3 linked regions of the Caenorhabditis elegans genome follow. The protein of the gene in region 2 interacts with the protein of the main gene of each other region in a pairwise test. Each region holds a gene or a part of one and is shown on either strand. Other genes may lie near its edges.

Region 1 (8,077 bases), on a different chromosome or scaffold from region 2:
AAATCTGAAAATTTTGAAATTTCAGCACAGAAATAGTCGAATAACTTGGGTTAGAATGATTTGTGTGTCCTATGGTTCCCCTTTTTTAATTTTTTTTTCCTGAAATTTCCTCCCCTTCCCCATTTACTGCTTCTTGTATTTATTATGCGTGCAAGTCCCTCCACCCCCACCCCGAGAAAGTTTTATTATTATTATTATTATTTATTTCATTTTTCTTTCGATTCAAATTTTTTTTTTTTGAGTAATGAAAACCACGTTTTTTAAAAGATTTTTCCACATTTTAGAGCGGGATTCTGGTGGAAAATTCAAAGTTTCTAAGAAATCTATTAGCGGAAAATTCAAATTTTTTGAGAAAAGCAGAAATTAGGCGAAAATGAACGATTTGAGGTATTACGGGTACACAAAATTTTGAGAATGCGTATTGCACAACATATTTTACGCGCGAAATATCTCGTAGCGAAAACTACAGTAATTCTTTAAATGACTACTGTAGCGTCGATTTACTAGCTTGATTTTCGAAGGAATTTTTTGCTTAATCGATCCCTAAATAATTTTAATTAATTCCGAATAACGAGCCCGTGAATCTGCACAAGCCCTACAGTAATCATTTAAATAATTACTGTGGTTTTCTTTTCGCTACGAGATATTTTGCGCGTCAAATATGTTGTGTAGTACGCAATTCTCAGAAATTTGTGTTCCTGTAATATGTCTTTTTTCCAACAATTACGGAGTCTTTTTGCAAAAAAAAAACCCCATTTTCTCACTGCAAAATCCAATATTCGTAATAAAAATCAATATTTATTGAAAATTTCGGCAGGAGACTTTAATTTTCTTTAAAAATACACAAACTTGGGGATTTTTAGGGCTACAAGAAGTTTTGCATTCATTTTCCACATAATATTGCCGGCAAAAAACTCTAAAAATTAATTAGAATTTGAAGAAATCCTAAAAACACATCGATTTTTCAGGGGGTTCTGGCCTTCCTCATTGCATTTTTTGCGCTCCATTGACAATCGCCCGACGGGCAACGCATGGGAAAGTGTCGTGTACTCCACACGGATAAATACATTTAGTTTTACTATCGAGCCGCGACGCGACACGCAACGCGCCGTAAATCTACCCCAGATATGGCTGAGCCAAAATGGCTTAGTTCGGCAAAAACTCTTCCATTTCAATTTATGAGGGAAGCCAGAAATCCTTGTTTTTTTTTTGAAAAAAATCCACGATTCTGTGTATTTTGACGTGACGGTGTACTACGTACCGAGCATTTTATTCGACGAGACACTCACTGAAAAAAAACCCAATTTTTAAAAATTTTTCTCATTTCAAAATGCAATATTCGTAATAAAAATCAATATTTATTTGAAAATTTAAATCAACAGCGAGAATTGCAAGAAGCACGAAAAAGAAGAAAATATTAATTTTTTTTGCGTGCGTTTCGGTGCAGTTTTTCGGGTTTTTATACCCGGGAGATGAGGGTACACTTGTTGCAAAACTCGGGGATCGAACATTAAAAAAAAATTAAAAATGTATATAATATTTTATTCTTCTTCATCAGCGGGCACCGTCAGAAATTCAATGTAGCTTGCGTTTCCCTCGCCGTGATCGATTGAAAATTGACAGGAGAGGACGCCACGCTCGTCGACACGGAGGATGAGCTGGAAAAAACTTAAATTGTAAAGTTTGCATCAAAAAATTCGAGACATTTTTTTTTAGAAAATTGAAAAAAAAATTTCGAAGAAAAACATTTTTTCTAATTTTTTCTCGATTTTTGAAACTAAAATTTGATTTGGAGCATAACGTTTTAATTTATTTTTCGATTTTTTTGGCCAATTTTGGAGTTTTTGGGGTTTTTTTTCGGGGAAAAAAACGGAAAAATGTTGATATTTTTTGTTGCAAAATTGGAAAAATCGTTAAAAATGCTTTAGACATTTTATTTATTTTTTTCGAAATTTTTTTCTGTTTTTGAAAAAAAAATGAAAATTTTTTTTTTCAAATTTAAAAAAATTTTCAAAAATCGAAATATTTTTCGAAAGGAAAATTAATTTTTTCACAAATAAATTTATTTTTCTAAAAAAATCGGCTCAATTTTTTAAATTAAAAATTATAGTGAAAATAATTTTCACAAATTTTTTCAGATTTTTTTCAAAAAATTTCGAAAAAAATTTTTTTTTTCCCCCAATTTTTTCATATTTTTAATGAATTTTTCCTGGAACCATGATAACTTTAACTAGGAAAAATCTAGCAGATAGGCTAAATTTCTTTCCAGAAACTACCTTTGTAGCCAGTATAAAGGCGGTAGTCATTCGTTGAATAAGCGACAGAAGATAGCTAAATTCAACTTCTTCAAGGCACTTTACACTTTCCATTTGAAGGCTTCGAGACGGTATTGATACCTGAAAGTATAAAAAATTTGGTTTTAATTTTTTAAAAAATATTTTTTCAAAACAATTTTTTTTTTTTTTTTTTGAGTTAAAAAATTAAAATTTTTTTCTTTTTAATTTCCTAAAATTTATTTAATTTTCAATTTGAAAAATCCTACTGTAGTCTCGCCAACATCACCGAAAGTCGTGAAACACAGTGAATTCTTGGTGAATTGAATTCTCACCGTTCGGCTTGTGTCATCGAAGTCCTGAAATAGAGAAAAAAAATTAAAAATTCGTATTTTTTTAATGCAAAAATAAGAATTTTTATTTGAATTTTAGAATTTGCGCGTCAAATCATAAGTATTGGACGTCGATTTTTTTGGGTTTGGGTTGGAAATTCTGCAATTTAATCGATTTTTTTTTATTTTCGAAAAATTGAAACAATAAAAACTACTTTTTAAGCGAAAATCGAATTTTCAAGTAAAATTTTTTTTCCAAAATTGAAAACGGAAAATTTTCGTTTTTAGCTCAAAAAGTCGGAATTTTCGGATTTTTTTTTTGGTTTTTTTTAATTTTGAAAAATTAGAAAATCGGAAAAATATCAAGGTTTTTTCAATCAAAAACGGATTTTTTTTTTGAAAAGTAATGAAAAATTCGAAAAAAAAATTTTTTTCAGAAAATGTTTTAAAATATGAAAAACAGACCAAAAAACACCGATTTTTCTGAACGGAAAACATTTTTTTTCGTTTTTCGACAAAAAAGTATCGAAAAATAAAAATAAAACGTTTTTTTTTTCAAAATTGAAAAACGGAAAATGTTCGTTTTTGGCTCTAAAATTCGGAATTTTCTGGTTTTTTTCGTCTTTTTTTGTTGAAAAATTAGAAAATCGGAAAAACCGAAAAATTTTTTTTCAAAAAAGTCGAAAAAAAGTTTTTTTTCAGAAAATGTTTTAAAATGTGGGAAAAAACCCAAAAACAATAATTTTCTGAAGGGAAACCGATTTTTTTTTTCGTTTTTCGACTAAAAAATTTAAAAAAAAATGGTTTTTTTTTCAAAAAAGCTAATTTTTTCAGAAATTTTTTTTTGGAGTCGAAAAAAACCAAAAAATGTTAATCTGTCAGAACAAAAAGAAATTTTTTTGTTTTTGCGACATTCGAGTAGTTTTTTATTTCATTTTGAAAAAATCCAAAAAAAAATTTTTTTCCAAAAAGTCAAAAAAAAAATTCAGAAAATGTTTTAAAATATGAAAAAAACCGAAAAACACCGATTTTTCTGAAGGGAAACCGATTTTTTTTGTTTTTTCACTAAAAAAGTAAAAAAAAAAGTTTTTTATTTAATTTCAAAAAAAAAACATTTTTTTCGAAAATCCAAAAAAAAAAATTTTTTTTGGAAAATGTCTGGAGTTTAATAAATTTTTTTCGAATGTTTAAAGGTTTCAATGATAAAACCTTGATAATCTCCTTGAGAACTTGAGTTTTAAGCAGATAGGTCGCCAGCACACCAGCGTCATCGAATTCAAAGTCGAGCTCCTAAAAATAGACAAAAAAAAATCTAGGAATTTCGAAAACCCGGCGAACTTGATCTGCCAGCGTTGTTGTAAAATTGCCACGTGCCACCCATCCGTCTGCGTCTTCAACAAGCATTTTCACAGGCTGAAACATTCCCGGATACGAGACTTTTACAGAACTCGACGAGTTTTCCGAAATGCTCAGGAATTCCTGGAATTTTTTTGTTTTTTGCCACTTTTTTGGGCTTTTATGGGCTTTTAAAGGCTCACAGAAATCGATTTAATCGAGATTTTCATCGAAACTATCTCCTCGCGAACTTTAAAACTCGAGAAGAACGCCGGATTGATAAAAACGCTGGCCAGCTGATAGGATCCATCGTCGACTGTGATCTTCATGCCCGCCTCGGAAGCGTGCCACGTTCCTGTCTGGAAAATTGAAAAATTTAGATTTTTTCTCAAAAAAAATGAAATTAATATCGATATTTTCCAACACTAACATCCTTAAAAGCGACGGTTTTGAAGACCTGCGCGAGCTCCTTCACATTTTCTTTTTTCAATTCCATAATTGTGCATTGACCCGTTTCTAATTCCATCATTTTTCCTGAAAAAATTTAAATTTTAACCGGAAAACTGAGAAAAATCGCTGAAAATTAAATATAAATTAAAAAATTAATTCTCGCACCGTTTTCCGAGAGGAGTACACCTGCGGAGTTTTGTAGGCCATCGCACCTCGTCCCTCTCATTTGCGCGGAAATTCAAATTTGAAACCTCCGATTTTCGATCTTTTCACCCTTATTTTACACTGTGGCCAGTGTAAAGTACTTTTTCTTTTTGCGAAAAAGATTTTTCTTTCGAAAGCGAGAGAAGCTCACTGATTGCGTGACACACTCATCCGTCGTATCATTTTTGCTCGAAACTAGTTTACAACTTTTATGTGTGCGTGTGTGTGTGTGCTCTTTTTGGCTCCGGATGAGCTGAGCGGACCACGGAGCTATTATGAAATCCCGCGGTCCCCCATATAAACATGAAAAAAGAGCAATTTTTGGGAGTTTTTGGTGGGAGACGGGGAGGGCAATTTGTTCATACATCAATGCGTTTTTGTGTATTTGCTTTTTTTTTCTTTAGGAAGTTTCGAGATTTTTACGATTTTCCAGGCATTTAGTAGATCCCTAGTGTCCACATTTTCCACGTGGAGTACACGACGCGTGGTCAAATCTGGTGCATTGAATTTTTCGCGCTCCATTGACAATCTCCTGCCGGAAAGGACATTTTCCACGTGGAGTACACGGAACGTGGCCTAGAAAACTTTTCTTGGATCTTCACGGGGTTCTGGCCTTCCTCATTGATTTATTCGCGCTTCATTGATAATCGCCCGCCAGACAACTAAAATCGAGCCGCGACGCGACACGCAACGCGCCGTAAATCTACCGCAGATATGGCCTGAGAGACGCAGGGGTTTTTTTGAAGAAGGATATTTGATGGGACAATGGGAAGAAAAAAGGGATTTACAACTTGAAAATTCAAATTTTGCGCGTCAAATCTGGTGCATTGAATTTTTCGCGCTCCATTGACAATCGCCTGCCGGACAACGCGTGGTAAAGTCGTGTACTCCACACGGACAAATTCATTTAGTTTTACAACTAAAATCGAGCCGCGACACGGAACGCGCCGTAAATCTACTCCAGATATGGCTGAGCCAAAATGGCCTAGTTCGGCAAACTCTTCCATTTCATTTTATGAGGGAAGCCAGAAATCCGTAGTTTTTCTCTAGAATTTTTCTAATTCTATTTTTGTCATGCTAGTTCTTTTCCTCAAATTTGGTAAAATTTGTACTTTTTTACTTGTACTTGAGAATTTGTACTTCAGAAAAATAAGGCAAAAACCGCTTGTCCACGGGGAGTACACGACACGTGGCCTAGAAAACTCAGCGCGGTATTTCAAATTAAATTTCATGCCTTTTTCTGTGTTTTCTGTTATTTTATTACGCTAACAAAAAATCCTGAGAATGCGTATTGGGCAACATATTTGACGCACAAAATATCTCGTAGCGAAAACAAAACTACAGTAACCCTTTAAATTACTACTGTAGTGCGTGTGTCGATTTACGGGCTCGATCAATGATAAATGAATTCATTTCGAAAATCGAGATCCCGTAAATCGACACTACAAATGTCATTTAAAGAATCACTGTAGTTTGCTTTTCGCAACGAGATATTTTGCGCGTCAAATATGTTGTGCAGTACGCATTCTCAGAATTTTTTGTTCCCGTAATATTCTTGCTCCGCATTCAAATTTGAGCCGAGAGAGAAGAAAATCTTGTTTTTTTTTTCGAAATTTCCACGACTCCGCCTCCTGTGTGTGTGTGCATTTTTTGGTTCGTTAGCGCTTGAGGCTATGGGCTCTGTCGAGCTCATTTTTCTGTTTTTTTTTCGTGCTCCCCTTCCTATTTTGGCTCGCGGAGCTCAGCTATAAAGCGAGAAAATTGGTCTATAAAATTTTGATGAAATTGAATTTTTTAATTGCTCTGTAACTGAAAAAATTATTAAATAAAAATTTAATTCCCGCTATAATTTTTTGGTATGCGCCTTTAAATTGTGAACTACAGTAGGTTCAGACATTTTTTCTGGAATTTCACGTGGTGCCAGGCTGTCCCATTACGGTTTGATCTACAAAAACGCGGGCATTTTTTGCCCAACAAAATGTGACGTCAGCACGTTCTTAACCATGCGAAATCAGTTGAAAACTCTGCGTCTCAACTCCCGCATTTTCGTAGATCTACGTAGATCAAGCCGAAATGAGACACTCTGACATCACGTGAAACTTTCAGACAAAATATTCGAAAAATTTAATCAAAAGTAATCAAAACTTTAATTTATTTAAAAAAAAACTGTGAAAACTCAATGTCAGCAAATATTTCAAGATTTGCGCGTCAAATCTGATGCATTTTTTTCAACTTAACAATTCTTTGCACTACCCGAGAAATTCAAATTTTCTAACGTTTGTGCGTCAAATCTAGTGCATTCCTTTTTTAAATTTCAGCTTGAAGTGCAATTTTAGCCTAATTTCTACAATTTTGAGTTAAAAATCTTTAGGTTCTGCAGACACGGAGTTCTGGCTTCCCTCATAAATTGAAATGGAAGAGTTTGCCGAACTAGGCCATTTTGGCTCGGCCATATCTGGGATAGATTTACGGCGCGTTGCGTGTCGCGTCGCGGCTCGATTTTAGTTGTAAAACTAAATGCATTTGTCCGCGTGGAGTACAAAAAATGCAATGAGGAAGGCCAGAACCCCGTGAAAACCCGAGAAAAGTTTTCTAGGCCACGTTCCGTGTACTCCACGTGGAAAATGTCCTTTCCGGCAGGAGATTGTCAATGGAGCGCGAAAAATTCAATGCACCAGATTTGACGCGCAAAATTTGAATTTTCCAGTTGTAAATCCCTTTTTCCCGATTTTTCTCCATTGTCCCATCAAATATCCTTCTTAAAAAACCCCTGAAAAAGAAACATATCCAGTTTTCCGCGCGTACACAATAATTCTCGAGGTGGACAATTATCCCCCATTCGTTCTTATTCTCTGCGTCTCTCAAATCCCACACACTCTCTCTCAAGTCTCGTCATTGAATTTGACCGGTCCGGGTGGCCAGAATTAATCTACAAAAGTACTTTTCTTGCACCCGGGGCACGGATATCAGACTTGAAAATTTCCAAATTAAAATTAAAATTTAGTTAAGGCGATGTGACGTGGCGCTGGCGGGGATGAGGAGTAAATGTAATTGGATTTGGGATTTCGGACGAAAAAAGCTTTTAGTGAAAGTAGATCCCGCCAGTTTACTCTTCAGAGAATACTACCAGCAACACACCAGATTTTGGGTTTTGTTGTATTGATTTTTTTGGTTTTTATTCAAGAAAATTTGAAATTCTGAGAATGCGTATTGCACAACATACTTGACGCGCAAAATGTCTCGTAGCGAAAACTGCAGTAATCCTTTAAATGGATACTGCAGTCGATTTACGTGCCGAAGTAGCGATTTTGGGTATGCGCCTTTAAGGTTACTGTACTTAAAAATGTTCTTGAGCCTTTTTTTGCGGAAAATCGGTCATTTTAGGCTATTTTTCTTTAAAAATAGCTAAATTTTCACATGATTTTGCAGGATTCTAGCATAAAACAAGTCAGAGTGTCCCATTTCGGTTTGATCTACGTAGAT
Region 2 (7,928 bases):
TTTGTATTGATAAGATTTTGCATTGCTTCAGCCAAGATGCCATTCGAAAGCAGAATATTGTGTGAAGGTCACCGGAAGCAGCGTAGGAACTAATCTTCCGTTCATTTCGGGCCGATGCGAGCATGCTGGTGAATGCAAGGACCACGGAAATGACTGCTTCACCAGAACCGACACTCAAGGAAAAGAGGAAGAAATCTGTTGCAGCTCTGGAAACTTCTCAAACCACGGATCAACCACTCCGCTTTTCACTTCTATCGCACTTTTCATCACATTGCTTATTATGTTTTGTTGAAGTCAATTTTAGTAATAAACTCGCCAAGCTATAAATTTCGAACAATTTTTTAAACAACATTTCATTAAAAACAAAACAACGTTTTACTTTTGGGCCTTCTTCAGTTTGGCGAGCTCCACTCGGACGATTCTGTTTCTCATCTGCTTGGCCTTCATGAGCTTGTATCTCTCGAAGTCGGTGAGCTTGGCTCTCTGCAAGTAAAAATGGTTAAAGTGAGCCGAAAATGCTAATTTTAATACAAAAACCAAGCTAACTTTAAAAATATCGGAAATAGTGACTTACGATAGCTCTTTGAGCGATCTTCTTGGCCCATTGAGTCTTCTGGAAGTTCTCGGTGACCTTGGCGGCATCGAAAGCTGCCTTAACTCCCTTGGTGCGTTGTCCAACACGGAGCTTGAGGACGAACTTGGTGAGCTGAAGATCCTTCAAGTTTCTGACGGTGCGAGTGACATCGGAGGATGGTCCATCGATTTGAACCTGAAAATAACAATTAGAAGCCTGTATTTATGTTTTCTTGGGGCTACGTGTTTGCTTAAAACAAACGCTCAGCTAAATTTATATCGATTATATTCGAAACAATTTCAAAAGGGAAGTTGTGATTAATCATAAATTAACAATCTAATTACTAATTGTTCAGTAAATCACTTTAACGAGCATATTTCAGTGATGATTTCACTATTTAATGATTCAGAGCTATGCTTTCCGATTTTTGCATTTTACAAACATTTCTGATCGCATTGATAATCTAAACGTTTTAAAAAGTTTAAGTAAAATTCAATAAATCTGCTATACATTTTTTTTTCTTAATTAATAAATGACTTACTCTGTTTCCGTCGATAACGTTGACGATGGCAGCAAGCTTGCCTTGGTCTTTGCCGGAGGCGATGAAGACGACGCGCCCAATTTGAACGACACGGTTGAAGACCATGTTTACTGAAAATTAAATAATAAATCAAAATTATAACGCGTACATTGAGAAGTGAAGAAACACCGAAAAAATTGACTTCACCAGCTAAAACGATATATTTTGAGCAAAAACTTATGATTTTAGTATTAATCGATAGACAAACTGGTTCTGAATTTTTCTTATATCGTTTTTATCACAGAAACAACCGAAAAATATCAAAAATTTGCTGAAAAAGAAGAAAATTTGGGAAAAAAATCGCAAAATGAGTAAGACAGCCATAGGCTACGGTGACAATTTCGTGGCGAGACCCACATGGGGCGGGACACGTGCAAGTATGCGGCGCACCCAACGCAACTGCGGCGCAGTTTATCTCATCTTTTTCATTGTAGGAAGGGGAACTTTGCTCAATTGTTTGCTCTTATGTAATTTCAGTGATTAATGTATGTATTTGTACTGAACCTGTATGAATTTCATTAAACCGGTGAATTTTCAAAAAAGTCGTGTTCATATTTTAGGAAAAAGCAACTTAGTCCAGTTTTTCGATATAAATTGCATTTTGTAAATTAATACAGGATGCATGGTAAAGTTTTATTACTGAAAACAAAATAAATAAAAACAATTCTGCGATATTCAGTAAACATAACGGGAATCAATTAATTTAACTGCATCATCTTCTGCCATTTGATTCATAGCATCGCGCAATCGGGAAATTGATGAGTCTTCAAGTTGTTCAAATTGGTCCAAAAGAATCATAGTCGGGCTTGAATCGTCTCCCGATGAGCAAATAGAAATAAGTTCCACCATGTGATCACAATTGAGTTGTTGTGCCAATCTTTGCCATTTGCACTGATCATCAAATATTTTTGCAACGCGAATTCGGGTCAAATAATCTAAATTGCAGACCGAATCACTAAGCTTCGGATTCCGATCCCATTCACTTCGACGCCTTCGTGTTCCCGACGATGTTGAGGGTCCCGGCTGTTGCTCATCTTCAGATTCAGATGTGGATATTCTCGAAACACGTGGAGCCATGGAGTCAGTTTCAGCGAGAAGAGTTTGAGCGTCTACAAAAACGGATCTAATTTCAAAAAATCTTTCAGAAAACATACCATTTAATATTTCTTCTCTAGATCTCTTCACAACTCTGTGCCGCCCACTCTCTTCACCTGGAGCCTGATCTGGATGAGATCTCCCAAATAAGGGAGATCTAGAAATAGCTAAATCATTAGGAACACCAAAAGCTTCTTTCTTGGGTAGTTCGGGTCTATCTCCATTTATAATGTTTTGAATAACACTATCTTCACTATCTGCCAAGCATATTCCTTTAGAATTTTGTCTATTCGGATCAGCTCCATTATCTAAAAGAAGGCCAATCACTGGATAGTTAACGTTTTTTACAGCCAAGCTCAATGCAGTCTCTCCAGATTCATCTTCTATATTTGTTCCTGATCCTCTCTGAAAAAATATTAAATTTAAAACAATGTTTTTCTATGTACAGTTACCTCAACCAAAAGCTGAATAGTCTCAAAATCATTCATTTCAATTGCGTGCATCAACGCATTTCTTTTCTTTTCAGTATCCAAAAAATCAATCAATGCTCCCGCTTCAATGAGCATCTCAATCAACGACAGCTTCAACCTTCTTACTGCCACGTGAATCGGTGCAAATCCCTCCGAATTCAGCTGATTCACATCAAACCGTTGACCTCTAGATGGTTCTAATATTTCTTTGAAAATTGATTCATTGTATGCATCTCCAAGATAATGTAGAGCCTGAGAAGTATTGAATAATCTACACAAAGCGAACATTTTGTCTGTTATATACTTACTGTGCTCCCATGATTATCTGATATGTCAATTTTGGCTCCATGATTCATGAGATAATGAACAGCATCGGGATCTCCAGTCCTTATAGCTACATGTAGTGCAGTAAGACCATGTGTGTTTTGTACATTTATCACTTCTGAAAATATTACCCATATGCAAAATATTGCGCCAAAAATAAGATCTCCGGTCTCGACACGACAAATTTTTGCTAAATGAGAAAAGGTGTGCACCTTTAAGAAAACTACTGTAATATCAAACTTCTGTCTTTGCAGAATTTGTTAAATATAACCTTCAAAACAAACTATGAAAATTTACAAAAAATTGTCGTGTCGTATTTTCTGCGCGAAAAAATGCGAAATTTCGCGTCTTGGTGATATAAATACTGAAGTTTTTATGCCAATTCAATCACAGGTGCTTTAAATAGCTTCGTCTCAAAACATCTTACCATTTTTAATATCGGGTGGAATCACTGAAAGTAGAAGCTTTAATGAGAAGCTCTGCCCATTCTTCGCTGCCACATGGAATACTCTGGAATAAATTATGAATGTTGTAAAGGAGAGGAAAACTTGAAATCTTACGTATTTCCTTCAATATCTTGTTTTGAAATTTGTGCTACAAAAGGCTGAAGTAATGAAATTGTGTCTCCGTTGGTGGCAAATTCAAGTAAATTGTCAAAAAGCGATATTTCCTGAGTATGCGAACGTTGGATTTTTCGTGGCAAGTATTTGAAAGAAATCGTTGTCACATTATCATTTGAAGTTGAAAATCTGAGCTCCACTTCCAATTCTGAGTCTACTTTCAGAGAAGGGACTGTGAACATTACAAGCTGTAAAACATCATTAATTATATAAGTTTTTACACAGATTTTGTTACAGATTACGGAGAATGGGTACAATTTCAATGCGAATTTTATCATTTATTGAAATTATATTATTTTTTCAGTTTTCCCTTTTACGAAACGGTCCTTACCGAATGTTTCCTAACAACATCAATTGCACTCTCTTCAAATTGATCGCCTAGAAAGTGAATTGTGATGAGTTCAGTGGCGTCTCCTGTATTAAAAAGAAAGATTTTCTTCATCCGACTGTAACTTAAACTAACCAGCACCAGAACATGTTGCCCAGACGCGATCACCAGCAGATGCTTCAATAGTTGAAATATCATCAATGAATAACCGGCGATGTTGACTTGAGGATTTATGAATTGATGATGTATGGGAATTTATCTAGACAATAATTTGATATACTTTTTTATATTCATAATTGCTCGCTTCTAGAAAGTGCTTGATTATTTTCTTATTTGGCTCATATGCCATCAGGGTAAAAATTTTAAAAACTAATTTTATAGAGTTAAAATGACCAAATATAAGTATATATCTGTTCTGAAAATTTTTGATATTTTCCACCAAAAAACTGGCGATCACACAGTTTTCGCCATTCTCAATTTTGTAATTGTACCAAAAAAAAACGTTTTTTTTCTACCAATTTTATATTTACTTTATAATTATGTTTCAAATATTTGTATTTAACCATTTTAAAGGTTCAGATACGTAACTTTGCTTTAGATTTCTCACAAAGTCCAAATGGTTGGCAAATTTGGAAATTTACCAAATTTTTGACTGGGAATTTTTAGAGTTCTTTATTATGATATTTGGTTATTTTGGAATTATATTGATTATTATATTGAATATATTGATTCATATAATTCAGTCAAAATCCTCATTGAAGCTAATATATTTTTTAACTACAGTACTAGTAGTACTACTACAAACCTCTGAGTCTGATCTCGATTTGTGAACTCCATTTTCTGTGAGATTAGCATCATTTTCATCAGCTTTAGACATTATTAGAAAATGATTAAAAAACCAATAATCAAAATGAAACGAACGAGAGGATATTAGAATGAGGGTATCCCGCGAGAAAGCTTCTCTCCAACGACCACCGCCTGCTCGACTGTGTGTAAACTCGGCAAATGCCTATGTCTCTTCAACTTTTACACTATTCGCACGATCTTTGGGTTCAAGCACTTGGTCGATCGGAAAAGAGCGCGAGGACAATCTTATGACAATCTGATGGGGATGAATGAAAATATCAGCGGATTTGGAGAGAAATAGAGAAGCACAGAAAATGATGATGTGTTCGAAATGAACTAGAATGTGATATTGACCACGAGCTTACACGTAAATATCAGACAATCTAGATACTGTGTCAAAAACATTTGTTAGATAACTCGATAAACAACTATGCCAACCTAATAATATGAGGTCATATTTGGAGCTGATCAGAGTTCTCCAAGAGATCTAACAGTGGTGTCACCTTAAGAGGAGATATAATTTTTTTTTTTAAAGATGATGCAATGGACACTTCGGAATCAAAGTAAACAAATACCCAATTGAAAGTTAAGACAACTGTATTTAAATATTTAAAAAAATTTTAATAAGGACGTTGTTTTTGATAGAACTATTAATATGTTTCTATCAAATCGAGAGATCTGCAAAAGTTCTGATTTAAAAAACCGTTGTCCAATCAGCATGGGATCAATTGTGGCAAAAATGTTAAGCTTTTCGGTTTCTGAACTGCCTACTTTTCATTGATGAATTTTTTTTCCTTTTTTTTGGAACGAAAAAATTCGCAAAAAATTTTCCCGTGGTGGAGAGTTGAACTCATGTTTGTTTGTTTTTTCTGGACCCTTTTTTTTTCTTTTTTTTTGGGACGAAAAAATTCGCAAAAAAGCTCAATTATTGTTACAATTAAAATAGTCTGCAGATAAAACATTAAAACCGCTTTGAAGTGTTTTTTTTTACTCTACGTTATTTAGAAGTGTTTCATCACACACTGTAAATAAAGCACAGATTTCTGAAATAAAACAATAAAAGTTTGAAATAATCCGAGTGTTTCTTTCTAAGTATCTTTTGCATTTGCAAACATATCGCTAGTTGGAAAGTCGAGTTTTTTTTTCAGAAATAATTTGCAGTATTTGCAAGACTAATTTTCGATTTATAGTCAACTATGACTCAGAGTTAATTGAACGGCAAATAATAACGCCAAGACAGTGTGCACTGATAAAGTGAACAATGTTTTGGTAAGGTGACGGTTTACTGTTACTTTTTTCATTTTTCATCGATTTTTTAAATGTATTCCCTGTGGAACCACTATAAAAATATAAAAGACTTGATATTGGCAAAACTATATCAACAAAACAACAAAATAACTTACCGTTTTTCCTCATTAGTATTGCACCCAATTGTTCAACTTTGACAGCTTATACTATCTCAGTAATCGTTTGTACTATTCAAAATTTGTCATCTAACAATATATTTTTTAGTTCTTTTTCTATTATTTCGTAGTTTATAAAATATTGATATCTTTGAAATGAATCGAGATATAACGTTTCAAAGTTAAGTAGCCGGTGCCATACTAATAGAGGAAATACGGTAAAATTGAGAGGTTTAAATGTCACCAAAAATTAGATAAGGGAAAGAATGATCTTTAACCAAGTCTTGCCCGAGTTTGATTTAATTTAAGCCAGGAAAGTTTGGGTAAAATATAAAAAGGAGAAGAAGCTGTCGTCCCTCAAGCATTGACTTAGGATCGCTCTCGTTCCGTTAGTTCTCCTGAAATATAATTAATAGGTACGAGGGGGTCGTCGCCTCAAATCCTCGTCTCACCCTCTTTCCACCAAATCTTTGTGTACAATTGTTGTCCCTTTTTTTACTATTTTTTGTGCCTATGCCATTTCATTATCACTTTTCGAGTGTATATTCCAGCACCAAAAATGTTACAGATGAAGTAGGTTAAGGATTTGGAATTTTGGTATTCTACCAAAATTTTAACTGAAAGTTTTGAAAAATCTGAAAAATTTTGGAATGTTTTAACAAAATATATCGTTTTTAATCACATTTCAGGTCTATTTAGAGACAATATTTCAACTGGACAAAGTTTTTGAAACTTTGGAGTTTTGCCAAAAAACATTCTTTTCTTATTTCTAATCCTTCATTATCGAGAATTCACTTCTTCTGTAGAATTCTATATCAATGCCTAAACAATTTTTCCTGGTTTTTTTTTCGATTTTTATCAGTGTGAATCATATCAATTTTTCGCCCATTGCTCACACTATTTTTGACGAGAATGAGGCGGAGCTTAAGGTTTCTCCGTCTCTCAAATCTATGAACACTTTCTTATAGTTAGACTGAGCAAGGCAACGTCGCCTAAAGCAGGATCGAGTATAAAAACTGCAGAACCACACATTCAATCCAATATCTTTTTGAAAGAAATACCGTGTTCATTTTTCTCTCCATTCAAGTTTTTTTAATCGAATGTTCTCGACGACCATATTGCGAAATCTTTTTTTCGTTGTGGGTCTTCACAGGCAATATACAAACTTATTTTAACTGATTTAAAAAATATTAAATAATAATGTAGATATAGTTACATTATTTATATTTAAAAATTGTTCATGAATTTGTTCTGTTTCGAAATGTCTCACTAGGGAATGACCAGAATAAATGGAGCGATATTCAAAAAAAAATATTGTATCGGAAAGCTGACATTCTCTACTATAAGAATATGACTGAAATTTTTGCCCGTTCGGGCTGGAAATCTGAAATTTTTACGTCTGAAATTATTCGTTTTGACGTGCTTTACTTATCACCATCCCCAATTAGTACTGCTTGCAACAGCGAGATGGCCGAGTGGATAGAGTGGATGACAAGCATGGTGGGACTCTGGGGTTCAATTCCACCCTAACGTAAAGTTTTTCAAAAATTTAAACGTGTTTTTTCGAAACTATATAAAAGCCCAAATTTTAATTTTTCTGATCGATATCAGCATGATCAATGTGTCGACCAACACCATAATGATTCATTCAACATCTTTTCCCCTAAAATTTAAACTTAACCATGGAC
Region 3 (7,955 bases), on a different chromosome or scaffold from region 2:
ACGCTACTATGTATCTAATGTATACATTATTCCATAACCTTATTCCATGTTATTATAGATTTTCGAGAAAAGCACTTACAATGTGGGATTTGCATTAAAGATATTTTTCTCCTCGACTTGCCGATTCTTACTCTGAAATTAATTTCTGAAGGTTTTCGAAACTTTTTTGATACAAAAACTCACCAATTTACCATCTTGAGTCAGAAGATTTTTTGTAGACATTCGGGGTGCGGATAGCAGAAATTAAATTTCTGAAAGTAATGAAAATTAGCTTCTTGAAACTAATATAACTTTAAAACTCACCACACATACAATACATAAATTTTTTTAATTTGTTTTAATCCAGAAAAAAATGGTGGTGCCAGCCACACAAGCCGCCGCAGGAAGACCAAATGATACCTCCGGGAAAAAATTTTGATAAGAAAGTAGAGGAGCAGAGAAACAAAAACAATGAAAAAGTGTGTAGCGGACTGCAATAAAATTTTATATTAATGTAGAGTGACACACAAAAAGAAAAAGATGCTAAACAGTTTTCCTTCGAACTTTAAAAATATTTTAGTTTAAAAAAAATTTGAAAAAAAATCAAGTGTTTTTGATGGTTCTGGTGTTTCATTTAAATGAAACTATACTGTTTTATTTCATCAGGCTTAGGCTTAGGCCTATGCGTAGGCCTATGATTTGGCTTAGGCCTTGGCGTAGGCTTAGGCTTCGGATGTAAGCGATATTCTAGAAAATTTTGACTATGATAATTTGTCATTTTGGGATCATAGGAGTAGTTTTTAACAATTTCCCCTTTGGTTTTTTTGGATTTGGTCTGGCATGCTGCCACTGAAATGAAATTTCACAGGAAACACTGGATATCTAAGGCCAGCACTTAACATTGTTTTCATTCTTGAAAGCTGAAATCGCTAGTCAAATAGCCATCCAAGGAAAACACAACAAGTTTAAGGCGGGAAATGGCGCAAGTGGACGTTCAAAGAGAAGACCTTCAAATGAAGTTAGGCAGGCAAGTAGGCATGCCTATCAATAAAAATGTAGAGGGTAGTATCTAGTAGTATTAAGAAAACTTAACATTCCTATCCTTATAATCAGTAATTGCCAATTTGGATTGTTAATAACTTTTTATATTTCAGAGTCAACTACTAGAATTCTATTTATACGCGCCTATACCAATTTCCTCTACTGTGTTTTTCAGTACAAACGGAACCTTCGCTATCGTAGCGGATAAGTCTGAAGCATCGCTTTTGAAATTGAATCCGTGACCACTTTTTTGCCTAACTTTTACAAAAAGCCAAAGAAGAGACATATTTCTACTAATCAGTTGCCAATTATATACCTATTTCAAACATTCGCTTTATTGAAATTCAACTTTGAATTTTGAATGAGCAGCAGTCCTGATAACAATAGAAAACTACCCGTTACAAGTTCCTGGGCAGACCATAAATAAATTCACAAGAAGGAGCAAGTTGGAGTATAAAAAGAGTGGTTAAAAGGTCAATGAACAAGAATAAAATACAAAATACTCGACATGAAATAGATATATATCAGTACAATCATTGATCTCTGGGTGGGTCAAAAATAGATTCCAGCCATTCTCGTTTTGCATTCAAGTATCTGACAGGATCCGATTTCCGAAGATATACAAGGAGACACGCATCAGCAATTGAGATGATATTCTTCTGTCCGATACACTCCTTCCACAACATGTAGAGCATATTGGTGGAATCTGTGGAGCTGCTCGTATCGTCAAGCCGAGCCTGAACGAACTCGAGAGCAATATCTTTCTGAACTGCAAGGTCATTTGGATTTCCTAAGCAGGCTTCAGCAAACCGGAGAAACCATCTTCTGAATATATTTCGCACAGGTGGAACCCTTGGATCTGAAAAAATTTACGTTTTTCAAGATTAAATATGTCTTATCTTTCTTACCATCGGCATAAGGACCATCCAATCTTGGAATTGTCTCGGTGCAAAAATAATTCAAGTACAGCCATCTTTCAGGTGACATCCCGTGAATATTCAAATTCACTTTCAAGAGTTGTGTCTTCTCTTTGTAGTGAGCATCAATATAATCATTGAAGTCTTGTTGAGCTTCCAGGAATGCCGTCAAGCTATCAGAAATACGAGGTGGTGGTGAAGTTGGAGGTGCATCTTGAGAAGAATCTTCGGTCGGGTTGGCTGACTTGCAAGGGAGTGGGGCAGGCTGACTGAAAAAAAAATTAATTGTACTTGGAAAGTATGTTACAGAAATCGAATCAAGCTGTGCGGCAAAAATTTATATATTCTGAGGAAATTAAATTTATTAGCGGGCTCGCAATTCACCGTTTAGTAATTATAATATCAAGTGATTAGACTGGGCTCCAGGGATGTGTGGAAAATCTCAAAAGTTGCCGAGCACTACTAAATTTTTGGCGACAAAATCCATAGCTTTGATCAAAATTGTCTGAGCTCGGCAAACGGCAAATTAGGCTAATTCGGCAAAGTTGTTTCGGCAAAACCGTACAAATTTGCCGCACACCTTCTGGGCAATAGACAAAAGCAGAGGGCTTTTTGCGGAGTTGTGCAAGATTAATGCTCTATTTTTTTACTCGAGAGGTCTAGTCTTGACCTCAATCTACTCAACTTGCACATTATTTTCCATATGTTTGATCCACGATTTTTTGAGAATTCAGAAATTTATATAATACGAAACTCATTGCGAATTTATTGATTTGGGCCTTACCTGGTGGCTTCAGAGGACCATCTCCCGGCTTGGTTGTTCACTTCAGCCATACGATTATCACAATTGATTCCACTTCTTTTCGGAGTTGGGCAACCATTACAATCTATGGAAACTGGATTTCCGGTACAATGAGAGCTGGAAAAGAACATTTAAAAATGTTGTTTGTTCTTTGTAGTTCCATACCTTTTCAGTCCATCAAGCCCTGGAGTCAACTTTCGAGCGATTCGGTTTCCTGAAGTTGCTTCCTTCCCAGAAACCGTGGCGGAGTACATTGGTGACTTTGTGAGTTTCGAATCAATCATGCCAAGTGACTTGTCAATCTTTGAAGACCTGCAATACAAACATAATGAAAAAAGCAGCTCCAAGTGTAAAACTAACTTGTTGGATGCTGTCAGACATTTTTCTCCGATCAAAGCCTTCGGGCTTGTGATGATTGACAAGGAAGGTGTTCTCTGATCCTTGCTGAAATTCAAACTTTTACTAAATACTTCACTTTTTATCACTACATACCTTGAGAAAGCACGTTTTGTAGATTTCGGCTTCCCAGGGTCCCCATGAAGTAAACGTCTCATTTCCTCAACGTTGGCATCAAAAGTTCCTGTCCACTTTCTTCTTGAGATCTTTGGAGGAGAACTCGGATGTGGACTTGGTGTGGGTTCGACATCTTCTTCTACAGTCTCCAGCGTCACGTCAAGACTGGCGAGACGGGACGCACTACGAGAACTTCCACGACGATGTTTCTGCACTGAAGTTTTCTTCGAAAGATTTTCTGGCAGGGTTCGATTGTTTACATCCAGAAAACTGGAGTCGAAGTCTTCACCAATTGAGCAATTTAGATCACTTCTAGCTGGTAATGTCCGATTCAAATTGCTGCATTCTCCGTGAGAACTGGAAGCTGAGTGCAAGTGTTGTCCGATCTTCATGCTGACAATTTCCAGTAACTGTTCCACAGAAAGTTCGGTGCCGTCCTTGCTGAACACATTGGATTTCAGATTACGTTGAGCAGCTCCTCTGGAAGAGTTCAGTTTCTCCGCCACTTGACTGCCAGCATCCTTCGTTCCGCGAGACTGTTGTTGAGATTTGTTAGTGACAGATTTTGGACCGTTTGCAACACCATTGGAATCTTCTATGAACACGTCGTCAGACAGTTCATTGTCATCTGTGTTGTAGAAAGCACGATCCTGGACATTAGTGCTCCCATGTGATCTTCTTCTATCGTTTCTTGATCCTTCTTGATGATGCTTCCTTGTTAAAGCTTCATTAATAGTAAATCCGGAAAAGCTCTGGTTCAAATTCCGCGGCTTGAAGACATCATGCTGTTGGCCAAAACTAGAATTGATCGAATTGATAAGCTCATTTCCAAACATGCCTCCATATCTCTTGTCCTTGTGATCTCCAGGAGCTTGAACTCCAGCTTGAGCGTTGAAGCTTTTATTTCCATGAAGTTGTTGGTAAGCCTTGGTTTCTTGTTTCTGGAACCCAGCTGGAACGGAACTCCCACTGAATGACACATTCCCAGCATGGCCATGATTGTTCGATCCATCCGAGAAGCTTCGGCCAAGTTGTCCATTCGGACGGCTTCTACTGTGCCCTGTATTTGACTGCTGAGTGTTGTACTGATAAGTGGAAACTGACAAGTTCCGTTGATTCCAGCTGGAGTTATTGCGTGTCTGCGAGTTTTGACGGAAGTCTGCAGAGAACACGGGGGCCGTTGGAGGAATGCTCGATGAGTTGAAGACGTTTCTGTTAGCTCGAGCTGCATTCATCGATTGATTAATCGAGTGATTCAACTGGTCGCCGTTCATGGAAGGATTCCCGTTAAAAGACACGGATCCGTGGTGAGATCTGCCACCATATCCACGGCTTGTTGACTGAACACCGTCTTGCTTTACGAACGAATAAAACAATTCTTCAATACTAATGTGGTGTCCCATATTTTTCGATGCACTTTCCAAATTGCTTCGACTATGAGAGCGGTGACCTGAAATTACAAATTGAAGAAAAAAATTGATTTAAAAAATGCTTACCTTCTCTGTTTCCTCTGGAGTTTGGCAGATCACATGAGGAAAGCTTTGAAGAACTCATACCTGCAACAAAAAAAACTTAATGAAATATTACAAAATGTAAAAATGTAAAAATGTAAAGAAAATAATGAGGGAGAGAGGAATTAATGAAAACCGGTGGGACCAAAAAGCAAGAATGGAGACCTGTGAGTGAGTGAGTGCGAGAAGTGAGAGAGTGAGAGAGGTAGAGAAAGAGAGCGCGAAATAGTGTGTGGGGAAACGGTCAGGGGAATGCATGCGCGCGGCAAAAACACAGTTAAAATGCGGCAGGGGTATTACCAAAACAACACAAAACGTTTGTATGGTACCGGCTGTTTTTCAAGAGTATTGGAGGTTTGAGGAACAGTTGAGTAAAAAGTCGGATATTGATAGTTAATTCTCTGGAATATTGGTGACCGGAAAGATAATCACTGAATAAAACACGAGAAGAAGAAAAATAAGGAAAAATCTTTGGTTCCGTGTACTTGTTAGTTTAAAGGTGGAGTAGCGTTTGTGGGTTTTTTGTACCTTAATGACAAAATAGAGTTTCAATGTAAATATCGAATAAAACTGTAAAAAAATTCCGAACATTTTCTTTGAAATTTTATGATTTTTTTCAATTTTGCAAAAAAAAAGGGCCGAATTATTTTTCAATTCCAGCGCAAATTATTGACCTGATCTTTGACATTTTTCTTAATATTTTCTTTGATTTAAAACTTAAAACTTTAATTTTTCACAGTTTCATACATTTTTCAGTAATGTTTCAGTAAAGTAAGTTAAAATTAATACTGAATTATCGATTTTTAGACTAATTTCAGCGTTTCCAAGTGAGCAGCCAATTTTCTTTACGGAAAAATGTCTGAAAATGTGGCAAGTAAAATTTCAAATTATGACACAAAGAAAAAATGAAGAAAACTCAAACAGTTTGCCACGTGGGATCAAATGAAAATCTTGAGGACTGTGGTCGATAACTTCTGCCAATTAATTTTCTAGACTGTCTCATGTTTCAATACCAAAATGAAATCATTAAATACTGCCAGGTTGCCCCACGTGGCAAAATTTTTTTTTTTTTTTTTTTTTGGTTTTTTTCTACAGGTCTTGCCTGGATAAATGCCGTATGTAAGCTGTAAGACAGTGGAACGAACACTGAATTCCCATTTAAGGCTGGAAGGACCTAGGAGGTGGGGGTCGAACTTGTGACCTTGTGATTGCAAGCAGCGCGCATAGGCACTGAGCCATGCACCCCCCGGAAGCATGAGTCACTAATAGGGGTGGCTATAGGTCGACCTAGGTCGACCTGCGACCTAGAGGGTTAGGTCGCATCGCGACCTAGGTCGCATTGCGACCTGCGACCTAGCGACCTGGGTCGCTTTGCGACCTGCGACCTAGCGACCTGGGTCGCTTTGCGACCTGCGACCTAGCGACCTAGGTCGCATCGCGACCTGAATTACCGACATTTTGTTCTCTTTCGGTTTTGATTCACTTGAGTTGTTAAAATCCGTATAACTCGAAAACTAAAGATTGCAGAATATGTATGATATATTCCACTAACATTTTCTCTATTAAGATTTTATAAGTTTATGCGTAGTTTTTTTTCAAAAGTACGGAACAAAGAATTCATTTCTACAAATAAAACCATGCATTTCAGCAAATTTTTTCAAAAAGTTCACGTTTTTGTGGTTTTTGTTGTTTCTAAAATTTCATTTTCCACTTTTCGAATTAAAAACGTAGAAAAAAGCAGCAAATCCGGCGGATGTCGGCTGTTCTAACTTTTTTCGACAAGGTGTCTTATGGATGAGAAATCGAAAACAATGTAAAATAAATGATTTGTAGCAATTTGTTAGTATAAAAATTGTCGGTAATTCAGGTCGCAATGCAGTTTTCGAGTTATACGGATTTTAACAACTCAAGTGAATCAAAACCGAAAGAGAACAAAATGTCGGTAATTCAGGTCGCAATGCGACCTAGGTCGCTAGGTCGCAGGTCGCAATGCGACCCAGGTCGCTAGGTCGCAGGTCGCAATGCAACCCAGATCGCTAGGTCGCAGGTCGCTAGGTCGCAGGTCGCAATGCGACCTAAATGAAAACAGCGACCTAGCGACCTAGGTCGCACTCTTGCCACCCCTAGTCACTAATGAATTATATGAAATCGATCGCCGGAGAAGCTGCAAGCAGCATACAAAGGATCTTTTTTATTTTTTATTTTCAATTGATCTCTCTAGAGTGGCTTTTCTTATAAAATATTGAGACTTTTCCAAAGTCTCTATATGCGTTGTAACCAAAATTCCCAAACTGCCAAGCAAGTATTTATAATGAGTTCAAATTCGAAATGGGGAAATTGTTTTAAAACACGCCTATGTTACCACAATGACCGAATATCATGATAAAAAATTTTCTAGATTTCATATGATTTTTTGAAAATTGCAAAAATCTCAGTTTTCCTCTAATTCCTATTCGAATTTCCGCCGAATGAATTCGTTCGCTGGAGCGCACTTGCATTATTTTTATTAATTTATTTTATTTTTTCTCATTATTACACTGATTTTCTTCATTCTTTGTGTATTTTTATCGGAAAACAAGAGAGAAGATAAATGCAAATTATTTATTTAAAAATAACTGAGAATGGGTGAAACTGTGAAATAAGCTAATTTCAGGCTTGCTATCGTCGGAACTCATAATTTTACAGTTTTACCCATTTTCAGTGATTTTTAAATAAATAATTTGCATTTATCTTGAATTTTTCTCTCTTTTTCCGATAAAAATACACAAAGAATGAAGAAAATCAGTGAAATAATGAGAAACAATATAATAAATTAATAAAAATAATGCAAGTGTGCTCCAGCGAACGAATTCAATTGGCGGAAATTCAAATAGGAATTAGGGGAAAACTGAGATTTTTGCAATTTTCAAAAAAATCATATAAAATCTAGAAAATTTTTTTGAATTTTTTATCATGATACGTAAATATACAACACTTATTGCTCACTTTTTTGTTTTAATTTTTTGTTTTTCATTCAATGGTATCTCATTCTTGCTTCTCATTTACAATGTTTTCACCGAGAACGTAAAATAACAGTTAAGTAACCATTGAAATCCGAGTGGAATTTGAACTTAAAACAAACAAAAAAAAAAATTGAATAGGAGTGTGCGGCTGACTGATTTTTTCGGCTTTCAGCTGGTACAGCGAGCTCTG

The links. Proteins that work in one complex are often made in the same cells at the same time.
Region 1: the proteins of ikb-1 (region 2) and mrt-2 interact in a two-hybrid assay, tested with the Caenorhabditis elegans proteins (2 studies listed by BioGRID).
Region 3: the proteins of ikb-1 (region 2) and meg-4 interact in a two-hybrid assay, tested with the Caenorhabditis elegans proteins (2 studies listed by BioGRID).

The regions. Positions count from the first base shown.
Region 1 is NC_003281.10:11,743,441-11,751,517, reverse strand, and holds mrt-2 (Cell cycle checkpoint protein RAD1 homolog mrt-2), read right to left. Parts: upstream 4,753-8,077; 5' UTR 4,556-4,752; intron 4,475-4,555; 5' UTR 4,470-4,474; coding exon 4,371-4,469; intron 4,300-4,370; coding exon 4,144-4,299; intron 4,085-4,143; coding exon 3,944-4,084; intron 3,896-3,943; coding exon 3,815-3,895; intron 2,633-3,814; coding exon 2,543-2,632; intron 2,397-2,542; coding exon 2,277-2,396; intron 1,659-2,276; coding exon 1,542-1,658; 3' UTR 1,343-1,541; downstream 1-1,342. UniProt on the Caenorhabditis elegans protein: May be a component of the 9-1-1 cell-cycle checkpoint response complex that plays a major role in DNA repair. Promotes DNA double strand break-induced cell cycle arrest and apoptosis, thereby playing a role in genome stability.
Region 2 is NC_003279.8:9,682,494-9,690,421, reverse strand, and holds ikb-1 (Death domain-containing protein), read right to left. Parts: upstream 5,025-7,928; 5' UTR 4,869-5,024; coding exon 4,797-4,868; intron 4,251-4,796; coding exon 4,127-4,250; intron 4,078-4,126; coding exon 3,995-4,077; intron 3,852-3,994; coding exon 3,604-3,851; intron 3,554-3,603; coding exon 3,471-3,553; intron 3,162-3,470; coding exon 3,028-3,161; intron 2,972-3,027; coding exon 2,702-2,971; intron 2,655-2,701; coding exon 2,309-2,654; intron 2,264-2,308; coding exon 1,830-2,263; 3' UTR 1,769-1,829; downstream 1-1,768. Other genes in the region: nssp-7 (Activin_recp domain-containing protein), read left to right, coding at 32-292; rpl-14 (Large ribosomal subunit protein eL14), read right to left, coding at 376-483, 575-769, 1,116-1,220.
Region 3 is NC_003284.9:1,679,807-1,687,761, reverse strand, and holds meg-4 (J domain-containing protein), read right to left. Parts: upstream 4,809-7,955; 5' UTR 4,807-4,808; coding exon 4,749-4,806; intron 4,703-4,748; coding exon 3,232-4,702; intron 3,184-3,231; coding exon 3,100-3,183; intron 3,052-3,099; coding exon 2,905-3,051; intron 2,857-2,904; coding exon 2,722-2,856; intron 2,207-2,721; coding exon 1,929-2,206; intron 1,880-1,928; coding exon 1,554-1,879; 3' UTR 1,343-1,553; downstream 1-1,342. Other genes in the region: C36C9.11 (Transposase), read right to left, coding at 80-132, 184-222.